Linked DNA regions of Lonchura striata. The protein of the gene in region 2 purifies or fractionates together with the protein of the main gene of each other region. This does not show direct contact. Links are inferred from orthologs where the notes say so. Each region holds a gene or a part of one and is shown on either strand. Other genes may lie near its edges.

Evidence for each region.
Region 1: the proteins of UBR2 (region 2) and UBE2B purify together in Homo sapiens (affinity purification with western blotting; 3 studies listed by BioGRID, with this or other methods). This does not show direct contact. The link is inferred for Lonchura striata from reciprocal best matches to the Homo sapiens genes UBR2 and UBE2B.

The regions. Positions count from the first base shown.
Region 1 is NC_134617.1:9,522,667-9,530,200, forward strand, and holds the start of UBE2B (ubiquitin-conjugating enzyme E2 B), read right to left. Parts: upstream 3,410-7,534; 5' UTR 3,343-3,409; coding exon 3,299-3,342; intron 308-3,298; coding exon 227-307; intron 1-226. UniProt on the Homo sapiens protein: E2 ubiquitin-conjugating enzyme that accepts ubiquitin from the ubiquitin-activating enzyme E1 and transfers it to a E3 ubiquitin-protein ligase. In vitro catalyzes 'Lys-11'-, as well as 'Lys-48'- and 'Lys-63'-linked polyubiquitination.
Region 2 is NC_134605.1:13,034,720-13,042,858, reverse strand, and holds the start of UBR2 (E3 ubiquitin-protein ligase UBR2), read right to left. Parts: upstream 3,342-8,139; 5' UTR 3,234-3,341; coding exon 3,156-3,233; intron 1-3,155. UniProt on the Homo sapiens protein: E3 ubiquitin-protein ligase which is a component of the N-end rule pathway.

The DNA.
Region 1 (7,534 bases), on a different chromosome or scaffold from region 2:
CATAACACAGTATAACTTACTTATTAAGCCACATGCAAGCTTTATTCAACAACAAAGCTAAACAAATTAAAAATTTAGGTTTTTTTTCCTTCCTAACCATTCCCCGTTTTGGACATTTTTAAGTTTACTGACTTTACACACATGAAACAAGAGAATAACTAAAAACAAATATCAGGTTATCATATTTAGCCCTCTAATACCGAATTTCATAATGATAAAAACTTACCCAAATATAACTGCATTCCATTGCATTATGTTATTCTCAGATGGTGCACCACTGACACCCACAGGAGGGTCTTCTTGCAATCTAAGAATTACATAGAATCACAAGTCATATATATGAAATACTTCCACCTGCAGATATAATTTACCAGTAATATCCACATTTTATACATATTTTCTCATTCTAGATTAGAATATACACAAAGCATTACATGCAGATTATCAACACTCTGAAAGACAGATCTACAAGGCAACACACATCAAGATTTTCTCGTGTTTTACATGGAGACACAAGGGCACAAGAGGTCTGATTAGGTGTTCAGGGAGCAAAGGATTAGCTGTAAGAATAACTTATAGCACCCGGACAGCTGGGATTTATGGTGCTACACTGTGAACTATGAGAGAGCAACTGCTGCTGGCTGCCACAGTGAATTGGAGAACAAGCTGCAGCCACAACCAGGAGCTGAAATCCAGGCAGTGACACACACACACAGAGCACTCTTGCTGGGACTCAAGGCAAAGGACCGTCAGCGGAGCTTTTCCTGCATACCCAGACCCATGCATGACAAGTGGCTAAATTTGGTATAAGCCTATTTCAACTGACAAGCTGATTGCTTCAAAAGGGAGCAAAGGGGAAACCTGTGTGCTGCTACCCCCTCTTACCAGTCCCACAAACGTGTTTATCTCTAAAGCAATTACGGGAACATGTGAAATTATTTTTAGTTCCTTAATCCTCGGACTAGGGAAAAGCATGTTACCTACTGAAAGCTTCACTAACAGAAATATGTACTGCAGCCAGAGGGCAGGATCCAAATGCCCCCCCTGCCCATCACTGCTCCATATTAAGGATCACAAGACCCTGATGAATGTACACCAGCAGGCCCCAATCAATCCACCTGCTCAAACCCCCTCAGTGACAGCTCCTACTCCCCTCACCTGTTTTGCCTCCGGAGTTATCCAATAAGGAAAATGCAGTGACTGCCCTTGTGTCACAAACAACTCTTGAGTGTTACCATGTGGCTCGATAATATCACAGCACACTTATAAACAAGTCACTACAAAAAGCTCTGCAGACCAAGGGACAAATTCTCACTAAATGCCATATGCAGATTTATTGAGAGCTGTCAGCAGCACAGCCAGGCAACCCTCCCTGCACTTGCCCTGCCTCAGCCTGGGGTAACACCGTGTGTTGTCCAAAGATGCTGAGGGCCCTGAAGCTGCTCAGAGCCCCTTTAAACTCTGTGTTTACATCTCTGCTCTTTGAGCACACACAGTCCAGACCGCTGAATATCAGCAGCATAAACCACCTACTATTTTGGTCAGGGAAAGCAGGAACAGGACTTCTTCCTACGTGACAGCCAGGCTGCAGGCCAGCAGCAATGCCTGAGTGTTAGCCTGCCAAGTGCATCTGGGAGATGACTTTGGTTTTTAGATCAACTTCAAAGCATGTGTGCACCCTACTTGTCACAGGGTCTAACTACAGAACGGATCTGGCAAGGACTGCAAATAGGACTAATCCTGAAAGTCCTAAACAGTAGGGAAAATGTGGTTTTAGTACGCCCTTTTTATCAGCAAAGTAAATAAATAACCTTTTATTTCTTTTGGTTTATTCAAACAAATTAGAGGAGGTAAGAAATCTGCTGAACTCTTCTCTCTTGACTGCTCCTGACAATCACAGTATGCAAAAGCAGTTTGTATTTATTGAAGTGAATCAGAGTTCACAGCACACCGTCTGTTCTTTCAGTATGAAGTATAATAACATAAACAAATACACAACTTGCAGCACAGAAGAGCAGAGTAAAACAAAAACTAATATGAAAAAGTTACATAAGTTTTGGAATATAAAAGCCGCTAAATATATGACTGATGGATTTGATTTACATTGTCTACTTGGTTATATTTTTCCACAGCTTTAGAGTCTTCTCTCGAGCCTTAATTCCAAAATTATTAAACCAGTCCCTGTAGGAATACAAAAGCATAAAACCCACATCTGATTGCAATCTTGAAAAATTGAGGTAGTCAGCCTGAAAAAAAAAATCACTGATTCATCTGTGTAACCAAATACAATAAAAAGTCTGAATATCCTGTTTTGATTTGAACAGGAATCAAGCAACACCCACTTAACAAACACCAACACTCGCACAAACAGCAGGGGAGGGCTCCACTTCCCAAAAACCTCCTACTGCTTCTGGATTCACGAATCAGATTTTTGTCGCTGTTGCTGTTGTGCAGCCACGTAAAGCAACTACAATACACGTCAAGTGTTAACTGATGTGTCCGCAGGGCCTGGTATAACATAGCCATGCTAAAAAAAGAGACACTATCAAAGCTGACTCACCTCCAACTACTGCTGAGTGACCCAGCCTGGAGAACTCTTACTGTACATCTTACAAGGAAACCTCCCACCCCTTTCCACACTCTAAGTATGTTTACGTGTCAGACTGGAAATAATGTATTCCAGAGTCAGTGGTTCAGTCATTAACATTTAAAAGAGTGCAACTAATAAGCGCTCCTTTAGCAGTTCGCATATATTACACAAGACTCCTCATGATTGCAAACTTTAAACACAGTATCACATGATTGTGCATAAAAACACAAAAGGTCATTTTGGCTCTTACTACATACAAACGAAGCGTTCGCCAATTCTCTGCGCTTCGTTTCCAGGTGCCTATCGCTACGAACTTCTTTCCAGAGAGACCCTGCGACCCAGCAAGCCTGGAACGCTTCTGAATTCCGGCCGAGCCATTCCACAGCCGGAGCCCGCGGGTGGCGGGCCGGGCGGACGGGCACGGCCGTGCCAGCCGAGCCGGGCCGAGCCGGGCCGAGCCGGGCCGAGCCCGCGTCCCCCCGCCAGCCCGGCGCCCCCGGCCCCGCGGGCGCTGCCGGCCCGCCCCGCTCGCAGCTCCAACTTCTATCCTCAGACGCCCCCAGCCGTCGGCGCCGGCCGAGCCGGCTCGAACAAAGCCGGCGCTGCCCCCGCTCCCCCCGGCACTCCGCTCCCCTGCCCGGGCGGCTCGGGGCCAGCCCCGGGCCCGGCAGGAAGGCGCGGGCAGCGGCGTGTGCGGGCCCCGCTCACCTCTTGAAGTCGCGCATGAGGCGGCGGCGCGCCGGGGTGGACATGGCGGAGCCGCGGCGCCGCCTCCCGCCCGCGCCCGCTGCGCCCGCACAAACAACCCGCAATGGCGGCGGCGCGCGCGGGGCGGGGCCGCGCCGGCCGCACCACTGCGGCACCGGGGGGGGCGGGACCGCACCATCGCGCCGCGCGGGGGGTGCGCGGGGAGGCGGGTGCGCGCGGCTCCGCGCTCGGCGGAGTTTGGGGAGAGGCAGCGGGAAAAGGGACTGGGAAAGGGACCGGGAGAGAGCCGGGAAAGGGTCCGGGAGAGAGCCGGGAAAGGGTCCGGGAGAGAGCCGGGAAAGGGACCGGGAGAGAGCCGGGAAAGGGACCGGGAGAGAGCCGGGAAAGGGTCCGGGAGAGAGCCGGGACTGGACCGGGAAAGGGTCCGGGAGAGAGCCGGGAAAGGGTCCGGGAGAGAGCCGGGAAAGGGTCCGGGACAGAGCCGGGAAAGGGTCCGGGAGAGAGCCGGGACTGGGACCGGGAGAGAGCCGGGACTGGACCGGGAAAGGGTCCGGGAGAGAGCCGGGAAAGGGACCGGGAGGGAGCCGGGAAAGGGTCTGGGAGAGAGCCGGGAAAGGGTCTGGGAGAGAGCCGGGAAAGGGTCCGGGAGAGAGCCGGGACTGGACCGGGAAAGGGTCCGGGAGGGAGCCGGGAAAGGGTCTGGGAGAGAGCCGGGAAAGGGACCGGGCGAGAGCTGGGAAAGGGTCCGGGAGAGAGCCGGGACTGGACCGGGAAAGGGCCCGGGAGGGAGCCGGGAAAGGGTCTGGGAGAGAGCCGGGAAAGGGACCGGGCGAGAGCTGGGAAAGGGACCGGGAGAGAGCCGGGACTGCTGGGACAGGGACCGGGACAGGGTTCGGGAGCGAGCCGGGACTGGGACCGGGAAAGGGTCCGGGAGGGAGCCGGGAAAGGGTCTGGGAGAGAGCCGGGACTGGGACCGGGAAAGGGACCGGGAGAGAGCCAGGAAAGGGTCCGGGAGAGAGCCGGGACTGGGACCGGGAAAGAGTCCGGGAGAGAGCCGGGACTGCCGGGATAAGGGCTGGGACAGGGCTCGGGAGAGAGCCGGGACTGCGGCACCCCAGGAGTGCCGGGACAGGGTCCGGGAGGAGCCGGGAGTGCCCAGCCCGGCGCTGCCCGGGCGTTTCAGCCCACGCGTGGGGCCGGTGGGGTTTTCTCCTTGCCAGACACACCAGCTCACTGTGATCAGCTGAACGTCTGCAAAGTACAGAAACTATTAGTCGTGGTCAGATTGCAAGGTTGTACATTTCGAGTCTTGCTTCTATGCTGTGTATTCAGCCCACTCCCACTATTTGCAGTAACTGGAGGTTTTAAAAATTTAGTTCTTATCAAATTTTAATTAGGGATAATGGTCCATTTTGCCATATGGGCCTCTCAGCATCTCTCGAAGTTCCCTCTAAATACAGGCTGATGTCCTGGCTCTCAGCCCTTTTTAAAAATCCCATTACTCCAACAGACAGAGCAGGTCTCTTTGAAGTCGTGACCCAGTTCTTACAAGCAGTCTTGGAAGTTATCCCTGAACTTGGATTTGTGTGGTTACATGTGCCTCCCTGCTTTTTTTTTTTCCAGATGATTTTAAGGAGGTCAAACCATCATGGGACGTATAATGAAATGACAGAAATAAACACTGCCTGTCCATTCCCTTTGCCTGCAGCCATCCAGGTGGTGGAACAGCATCAGCCCAGGGTTTAACAGCACAAAGCTCAGTACTGCCTTTTCACCAAGTTAATGCCAGCCCTGCTGCAGCAGCACCACTGACTGGGTTATTTATAAGTTGAATTCACATTTCACATGGGGTGGGATTTAACTCTGCAAAGATTTATTCAGACCACTTTAATCCAATGTCCCACCTTAGTGAAAACAGTCAGATGGCAAAAGTGAGGAATTCACACAAAGCCTGGTACTGCAGGGGAGCAAGCTTTTCCAAAAGATTTGGTAATAAGAAACTATAATACCCCAGCCACTAAAACATTATTCCCCACACTAGTGAGGAATGGTTCCTGGCAAGCAATCCCCTCCTCTGGACTCTCCTCCTCCTCCTCATCCTCCCACCACACACGTTCCAGTTTTCATTCCACTGCTGCTCCTTTACCTTTATCCAGCTTTTATTTCACTCCTGTTAACTTGGGAGGGAGAAAGCAATCTGTGACAACCAATGCAAGCTTGGACCTGTACACAAAATGAAGGTCACAACAACATTGATTAATTCAGTATTAGCAGGCACTGCTTCAAAGCCCAGACAGGGCATCCCCTGTGCCCAGGGCAGCTCTTTGCCTTTGAAGCCCAAGTCACACTCAGCCTGTGCAGGGAAATAAACAAAAAACTGAACAGCAGCACCAAGCTGGATTGAATCTGAAATCCCTTGTTGTTTCCACATGGCTTGGGAACTTTTTCAGCAATGTCTCATCAGGGACAATATTTATTCTCCTCTGACACCACTGAGGAACAGTGTATTGATGTTATCTAATAGAATATTTTAATCCTACCTGGCAGTAACATGTGTAGCAATCAGTCCCAACTAACCATAAAATATAGGTTCTGGCCTTGCAAAGGTGGTTTAATATGTCTCAAAATGAAATCTGCACTAAATATCCACTTTAGATTTGTATCTGGTGATAATTATTTCTAGTACTTCCTTGCCTAATGAACTTAAATGCATCACTGCCATTATAATGTCACTATGGGCATTTTAGTTCGAATGTTTTCAATTTATCATGTACTTGTAACACACTGACTTCCATTGATGAGTGGAAAGAACAATTGCAATACTAACTTTGTCATTTGGTTCCTGGAGAGGTTTTTTTTTCCTGTGCAACCATTAAAGTTATCCACTGTAACAGTGCTTCAAACACTTGGAAAAAATCCTTTCACAATCTGTGGTCTAGAACAGAAAGTAATGTGTTCATTCCTAAATAATACTGGGATGGCTATAACAACTTCCTGATCAGAAAGCTGTTTCAAGTTCAATTTTTATTTCTATTTTTTTTAATGCCATTTGATAGGGCATTTTTATAATTTTAAAAATATTAATATTTTAATACATTTTGGTTTATAGTTTTATGATTTTAAATATCAACATAATTTTAATAATTTAATTTTTTACAGCACAATTTATATTAATCTTGAGTAAGTACTAGATCCTTGTGCAGCATTTCACAAACCAAAACAATTTCTAAGGTAACTTTGACCCATCATGAGAGGATGTGTGTGAGCTGGGTGAGTTCCTGGTGTCCTGCCTGGGAGCTGCTGGAGCTGCTTCCATCCCGGAGCTCTTGCGTGTCCTCAGCCCCACCCAGCCATGGGAGAGGGACAGCAGAGCTGGCTGAGAGGCTTCTCCCATGTGAAAAGCGCCAATCGCTTGTTTAAAAGTTTTAAAAGTTTAATGGTAATAAAATAGTTATAAAAAAACATTAATAAAAATTAGGGCAATAAGAATTTCGACAATCAGAGCTAGGACAATAAAGGACAATAAAAAGCAAAGAATTACGGACGTCTGGATGCTTTCCTCAAGAAAACATGGCTCGCTAACAAAGGATTAACTCTTAAAAGCAATAGCCTGTTGCATATTTATATATCTCATACATGATGCAAATATTCCTTTCAAACTAGGAATTTTTTCTGTCAGCTCCTCCCCTCATCTTATAGATGAATCCTTTTGGCTCTGGGGTGTCTGGAAGAAGGCTGTATAGTCCGATCAAGAGGCAATAAATCTTGTCTTAGGATTTTTTTTTTTTTTTTGTCTTGTTGCTGTTATCTCTATGTGAAGAGTTTCTTGGGTTATCTTATCCATTCCTTATGCTGGTCACAAAAATATGAACAGCACATAGCTTCTATTTTAATTTTCTTCATTAAGAAGATTTACAATAATGAAGAATATTTACATCATATAGCTTCTATTTTAACATTATGCTATAATCTAAAACTATATTTAGCACACTACATAAAAAGGATGAATACAGTACTACAAAATAACTTTCCAACATAACACATATAGTATTCCATTTAATATTTGTGAAGAGCCAGCCATTTAGTCTGCATTTTTCACAGGCCATCCTTGGAGCTCCTTTTGTCTCTGAGTGCCTGGAAGAAGGCTGTATGGTCTGATAAAGAGGCAATAAATCTTGTTTTAGGATTTTTTTTTTTTTGTCTTGTTGCTGTTATCTCTATGCAAAGAGTTTCTTG
Region 2 (8,139 bases):
GCAAATACTGCAAGTGTCCACTGATTAAATCTTGTGTTACATAAACAGCCTCAGCATGCCATTTTTCATTGTAAATGTGACAACCAGATGCCCCCTGGCAACTTTCAAAAAAAGAGTTCAAAATCAACCTAAAACTGTACAAGAAAACACAGAATTCATTATGCCAAAATAAATGGGTTTGGTGATCAAATGTTAGAGCTTGATTTACTCTGAATTATTTATAACTTACTCTAAAGAACTTATGTTTGAGATAACAGTTGTAGTAAGTTCCTCAGGATACAGACATTCAGAGTCAGCTGAGCATCTGTGCAGACTGGCTACATTTTTGCCTTTTTTTAATACATTGAAGTAGTTCCATTTATTAGGTATGTTTTTCTGAAGTAGAACTTGGTATTTTAAAAAACCCTAATTTGTCAGGGTGCATTCTTCATTTCTTTTTTCCTAAGTTTGACTTCTTAGAATAATGATTGAACTGCTTAAATCTTTCTACATTCATCTAGCTTTGATGGTCAAAGCCCAGTTTTTTCCCAAGGAATTCCATGGGAAGAGGATGCCAAAAAGCCTTAGCCAAAAAAAAGGTAAAGTTTTAAATAAAAAATTTATTTTTCTCACCAGTTCATTCATCTTTTCCTCTCCTTTCATCAGTTTTGCCAAATTGCTACTACTGCCAGGAACCGACCCAATCACAGTGGCAGTGACTTAATCATTTCCATGATTTCCATTTAATAATCTTGGTTTTGCATTATTTTCTATAGCATATGCTAGTTATTAAACTGCAGGAATTTTTCAGCAAAATATCTTTAACATCAGTCTTTTAATTCAGCAGTATATTACTAATTTCTATCTAGAAAACACACAGTGCATACTAGCTACACTACAAGCTCAGACGAATACCTAGACACAGAAAATTCTTGTTCCTCAAGTAAATGGCTTTCCCATCTCAAAAATTCTGGGAGTAGCTATGTGAGAGTTAGGTGTGGCAATGATGAACATCATCACACCTAAATCTGTTTGTGAAGCCAGTTCTATACACACAACCGTGCATACAGCTTTGGAAATCAGATCATGGATGAAATAATACCAGAAGGAAATCCAGGCTACTAGGACAAGGAAACAGATGTGACTCTAAGAGCTGCCAGGAAGGTCTGCAAAGGTCTGTTGTGCAAGTAAGACTGTAAATAGAAATATATACATAGGTATACATACGTTGCATTGTCTTTCTAAATCACTACCTGGGGAGCACTGAACTCCAGAAAAGCTACTCAAAACTTCGGAATTTGCTCTTTCACAAAAGCATTCTGCATTTAGGCAAGATTTCAATTAGTGTTTGTCTATCCTCTAACCTGAAATCACATGCAAGAAATGCTAACATTCTACTCTCCCAAGAGAGGTTTTTTATTAAAAAGGGAAGTGTGCTCCTCTTCACTTCCTCCCTCCTCACACTTATTCTCCTGCAACAACTTTAACTGCCCTGAGAGAAAAAGAATGTGCAAAGTATTGATCAAACACCTTACATAAATAAATACCTAATGGTTCATCAGGGTTTCTATTAAATTCCCATCTAAGTAAGAGACACCAGGAGAACAAAACGTAGAATACTAATAAGCCATAAAATAACTCACTTCTCTGTTTCAAAAGCTAAAAGCTATGATTTATGAGCTTTTTAGCTACATGAAAAAAGAAATACTTGCAATGTAGGTTCCTGTTATGTTAAAGAGAATTTATTTTTATTATTTTTGTTCTTTGGAAGTTTATCATTAAGTTGTTACCACAACAAACTGAAGACTTAAGTGCTGTAACTATTGCTTTGGGATGGTATTTGTTTTGTAAATACTGGGCTATCGGCAAAGTAATGCTATCAGCAAAGGAGGCAGAAAAACCCACTAGATTTGAATGATAGATTTCAGAATTGGATCTTGTGCAGGTGATTACAGATAATAAAAATGAGATTTGACTACATTTAAGCTGGCACTGCTACCTACAGCAAATTCCTAAACGCATTCCCCTGGGTGCATGATTGCCTTGAGTTTACCTACAGTGTGACCCAAAAAAACCATCTGCTATTCACACAGAAAAGGTAATTTGGGCTCAATTTGGACTACTTTATAAATGTTTGATGAAATTATTTGGTTTGCTGTAGAAAAGAAGGAAGACTAATCCTGGAGCTAAACTAGCTAGGATATAGCTAACTATACACATTTGCCCATCTAATCATACGTTTGTCTGCACTGAAGATATACAAGCATAATCTGAGGATAATCTGAATTATAACAGTCTTTTATTTTCATTTGGAAAGCAGCCAATGTAATTCCCACTGAGACACACACAGACAGCTCTTCAAGGTTTTATCCTACCAATATGCACATGAGCAGTCTCAATACGTTTAACACATACATCCAATTCCTCAAATGCCCAAGTGTCTAAGTGGACAAACATTTATGTTAGAAACAAAACTTACTCCTAAGACTTTACCTTCGACACTACATTCCTCTTTCAACTACTATTTGTAAAAGCAGGAAAAGTATATAAAGAGAAGTAGATTTCTTCATTTATTACACTGATTTTACTAATATTTCCTCTACAAGCACCCCATTCTAATAATCCTAAGATTAACTACTGCAAGCTTTTCCAGAACCGCATCTTAAATAGTGGGGAGGAAGGAAGAACCCTGTAATGGCACTTCAACACTGTACAGCGTATTTGGGGTCAGACATCCACCTAAATTAACAGGGAGGGGGATCTGCTCAGGTCCAGGCGTGACTGCCGGCAGAGAGAGGCGAAGGGGCAGCAGAGGGAAGGGAACTTCAGGAAGCAATTACGGAAGGGGCGAGATGCCCGGCCGCCCCCGGCAGGGGATGGCCACGTCCAGGCGGCTTCCAGGAGCCACCTGCGGCAGCCGGCACAACAAGAAAAGCTGGCTGATCGCTGCCATGGACTTCGGCTGCGGCAACAGCGACGCTGGCGACGACAGCGCGCCGAGGCCGCGGCGGGACAGCGCTGCCGGCCGGGGCTGCCCTCAGAGGGCGGCTCCGCTCCGGAGAGCCCGCTCGCCCCGCGGAGCGGCCTCGCCCCGGCCCCGGGAGCGGCGCCCAGGCCGGTGCCTGCCGCGGCCTCCGAGCCCCCGCTCCCTCCCCGCGCCGGGCCCGCCGCCTCACCACGGCGATCTCCTCGGCGGAGCACTCCAGCAGGCTCTTGTCAATGGCCTGCACCTCCGCCTCCAGCTCCGCCGCCATCTTCTCCCTCCTCCTGCCCCCTGCCCCGCGCCGCCGAGGCCGAGGCCGGGACAGCCGGAACGGGGTCCGGGCGGCCGCCCAGCCCGGGGAACACACACTTCCGCCCCGCCTCCCGCACGTCACCGGCCGCCGCGCCGCGCTCTGGGGGCTGCAGTCCTTCCCCGGCGCCGCCCGGCCGCCGCTCGGCGCTCCGTGCCCGCGGCCGTCTGCGGGACCCGCCCCCGCCCGCCCTGCTCGCCTCGCGGGCTGGGTCAGGCTGGAAGCTGCCACATCTGGTCCAACCTCCCTTGCTCAAGCAGGGTCATCCCACAGCACACGGCACAGGTTTTCTTTCCGACGGTTCTTGAGTATCTCCAGTGAGGGAGACTCCACAACCTCTCTGAGCAATCCGTTCCAGTGCTCAGTCACTGCACTGTAAAGTTCTTCCTCTAGTTCAGGTGGAAGTTCTGTGCATCAGTTTCTAGTCCTTGCCTCTTGTCCTATTGCTCGGCACCACTGAGAAGAGCCCAGCTCCACCCTCTTGACACCCTCCCTTCACATCCTGATAGACATTGACGAGGTCACCTCTCAGTCATCTCTCCTTGAGGCTGAACAGGCCCAGCTCCCTCAGCCTTTCCTCATAAGAGAGATCCCCCCAGTCTCTCAGTCATCCTCACTGCCCTCCATGTGACCTGCTGCAGAAGCTCCACGTCTCTTTTGTACTGAGGAGCCCAGAACCGAACACAGCACTCCAGATGATGCTTCACCAGAGCTGAAGAGAGGGGCAGGATCACCTCCCCTGACCTGCTGGCAATGCTCTTCGTTATGCACTCCAGGATTTTGTTGGCTGCCTTGGCCCCAAGGACGCTTGTTGAACACTAGCACCATCAGCTCGTCGTTCACCAGTCTCCCGCAGTGCAAAGCGATGTCTGGGACTGGGGTAATTTCCAGTGCGGCTGGCAAAGCTGGGTGCCCCTCTCAGCTGAAATGCCCTTGTCAGCACTGCCAGTGGGCAGTGAGGGCTTCCTGGAAGCCTCCAACATTCAGTGCGGGTGGAAAGAAAATAAACCAGTAAATTATATGAACATGGCAACTGTGGCTTTAAGACAAGTATTACTAAATAGCAGAAGCCATAAATTCTGTTGCTCAGCTTCCAGGGGACAACCCAAACTGAGGTGTGGCTTGCTCATTCAAATGAGGATGCCAGTCTGCCTCTCAAAAAACAAGTCAACACCACCAAACCCAGCAAACAATCATCCTCCATAACTCCTTTTCAGCACATTCAGGCTCGACATCTTACGAGGACTTTCTGAAAACCTGTTGTACCACTGCTGTACCCATGGGCTTGCCTTGCACCTCTGTAATTACAGCTGGGCCCAAACCAAGCAGACGTGTCTGACCGTGCCTGCAGCCATGGGCGCCTGAGTGTGCTGAGGTTTTTAAAACACACCTTCCTTCACTTGCTGGCAACTTCTGCATGGACATAACCATCATGCACAAAGGAGTACTATTTCGACCTCGCACATCCTATCAGCCTTCATGTCTGAGATAAGGACCCATCCAACAGGACCCTCACCTAGCAAATCCTGCTGAGGAAATCTCTGCTCTGGAGAATTTACACTTCCAAATCTAGACAATGCATGGGAGGGGAATAAATATGTAGGAAAGGCAGACCAAGTCATAACTGCCTGCAGGTGCCTGCAGCTAAAGGCACCTTGAAATGTTGCCTTTGCCAAACAGTGCTAAGTTAAAAAAGCTGTGCATTGAGAGTGAATGACACTTCACATCTTATATTCCTTAAAACTTGGTAAGCATTCTCACAGTGAGTATGCATAGTTGCTTCTTCCCTTTTTTATCTCCTTTCCTCTCCCTCATTCTCTCCTCAATTAATAATTTACATATCAAATTTCCCAAGAATAAGTATAAATTCCTTTTGTATGTACCCTTCCTATATGCAGGGTACATATTTTACTATATTTTTATCTCCTTTTCCATTTCTTAAGTAATTGTTCTTAAAACACAGAAAATAATTATATATTCCTTAGAAGATCAGTAAAGCCCACGCTGTTTCTCATTCATGCACTGTGCATGCCTAAGGAATACAGAAGATGAGTCTTCTTTGGAAAATAGCGCAGGGTGAAGGAAAGCTGTATGACTTAATTGTTTCCCTTTCTGGGCTGCATGAAGAAAATGTTAGAAAAATCCTGGAGTTTACTAATGTGAAAGGCATCTTATTTTACCTAGTAAAGTGGGCAACACAAACAGAAATTAGCCTGCAAAGCCATTATTTCTATATGAACATAACAATTTCCTGAGTATCTTTTTCTACAACTTTGGGAAGAATTTTCCATAACATTTAGCCTGTGTCATTTACTTCATAAGCAAAGACACCATTCAAACTCAGGAGTAATAATTAAGGTTTAGGAGACTGCCTTTATCTTCTGCCAAAAAGCCTAACTCTTACCAAGTGTATTACTGAAAAAGAGAAATCGAGGCAATTTTAATGTTTCAGTAGGGTTAATATTAAACTTTCATGGCATTTCTCTGCTCTAGTTGAGATGTTTCTGGGTCTCACCATGCTTTCAACACAAAAGATAGCCCATAGAATGCTACAGACCATGGTTATGAAAGATGCAGATGTCATCTATACCTCTTTCATCTCCTGACCTGTCTGTTCAAGCACTGCTTGCCTCTGCCATTAAAAAATAAAAAGGAGAAAAAAATAAAGAAACCAAAACCTAAATGGTAGTTTGACTGGGGTTCAATTAATTTAATTGAGGTCTAATAAATGCTGTGTCCATTAGGAACACAATGGTGCCCTGGTTGAACCCCAGACGGCAACCAAGCAACACACAGCCACTTGCTTACCCCCCAACCAGTAGGATTGGGGAAAAAATTGGGAGGGTAAAAGGTAGAAAACTTGTGGCTTGAGATAAAGACAATTTAATGGGTAAAGCAAAAGCTGCACTCATAAACAAATAAAAGCAAGGAATCAGTTCACTACTTCCTAAGGGCAGGCAGCTGTTCAGCCATCTCCAGGAAAGCAGGGCTCAATCACATGTAGCATTTATTTGGAAAGACAAACACCATCACTCAAAAAGTTCCTTCCTGTTCCTGCTGCCCCCCACTTTGTACAGTGAGCATGACATCCTATGGTCTGAATATCCCTTTGGTCAGTCGAGGTCACCTGTCCGAGCTGTGTCTCCTCCCAATACCCCATGCACCCACAACTTCCTTACCAGTGTGGCAGCACAAAAAAGACGTTGGCTCTGTGTAAGCCCTGCTCAGCAATAACAAAAAACATCTCCATATTATCAACCCATATTATCAGCATAAATCCAAAATAGAGCCCCATACTAGAGAACCACTGGGAAGAAAAATAACTCTACTCCATCCTAAACCAGCACAATAGGCATAACTGAGGAAATTAATATTTGTCACAGGGGATACTGATGGTTCCTTTCTTAAATCTGTTTTAGAAGGTACTAATGAAACACCCACTAGAAGACTGCTACTTGATGCACCAGAACTCACCCATGGCAGCCAAGCTGAAGCCCAGCTGTGTCCAGTAGGGCACACTCCAGAAGGCTCAGCATACAATAATTCTTGTTATCCTGGCTGAATGCTGCTTGAACGTGATCATCTTCAGGGCCTGTTGCATTTTCAATTAGAAATGGATGAAATCAAGAGGTAAAGGGATGTTGGAGGGAATTTTTAAGCAGCTGGTTTGCTGGTGTGTTCATTGTACCTTAGATGCAGTCAATTTGACATAATTGTATTAATTTGAATGTAAATATAAAAATACTGCATATCTAGACTGCGGGGATAAATGTCTATAAAGAAGACTCAGAAAAACAACATGCTATTTAATGGAGTTTTCTGTAAATCATTATGAAAGGTGAGTCTTGTGAGAAGGATTCAGAAATGCTTCAATTCTTTGTGGAATGTTTCCTGGTACAGTTAAAAAAACTTTTTAAAAGCACTTCCGTGGCTGTTCACTAAAACAATGATGCATTTGCAACTTAATTTGAGGTTTAACTATTAAAGCAAATGGTCATCATTTTGCTGCATGAAGTTGATATTACATACCTATATCTAAAACCATCACTTTGAAAAGACATTTGTATCTCCTAAATCTTCCCTAAGTCAGCAACCCTTTCCACTAAAAAAAAGTATGTATCTAAATGTAGAATTCCGGTTTGTATTTTCAGTAACAGTAATTTTGATGAAACTGTTTGCTTAGTAGATACTGAATGACCAAAGTAGTGATTTTTACATAGCAAATACAATTTTAAAAGCCATTATCATTTACATGGTTTTCCTCCCTTCCTCTTCAGTGCCAGATGAGGTAGGTTTGTAGTCACCATCTCCTTCATAGTCTTCAGATAAATTCAGATGGTAATTCTTTTATTTCTGTGCTGCCAATTCCAAAGACAAATTATGCTGACCAAAATAGAATTTTTCCTGTGATAATGTTAATTAAAAGATGAATTGTGAATGAGGTGAACAATGACACCCAGTACTTGGTGGATTGATAAGACACAGCTCACTAAGCAAGACATTATTCAGAACAAAAGAGCACACGGTAATCTGCAAACACAGGTTATTTTAGGGATTTGGTTCAGAATTAGAGTATTAAAAATACTGTCTGACAACCTGTAGGTGATTCTTTGTTCCTTGGAGGCACTAGTGCTATAATATCAGCCCTTTTAGCAATAAATCCAAATAAGCTTATTTCTCTTCCCAGCTCTGTCTTTGCATGAGCTTAGATTATAAGTGTATAATATTCTAAGCATGATGTCAAGGAAAATTATTTTTAAAAATATACTGAAAGCAGAGCATATTGCATAGTAACAGTGAATATAGGAGGCATAATGAAAGCATAAAGATACTGTGGCCATGTTCCCGTCTGGTGAATGCTCTCTGC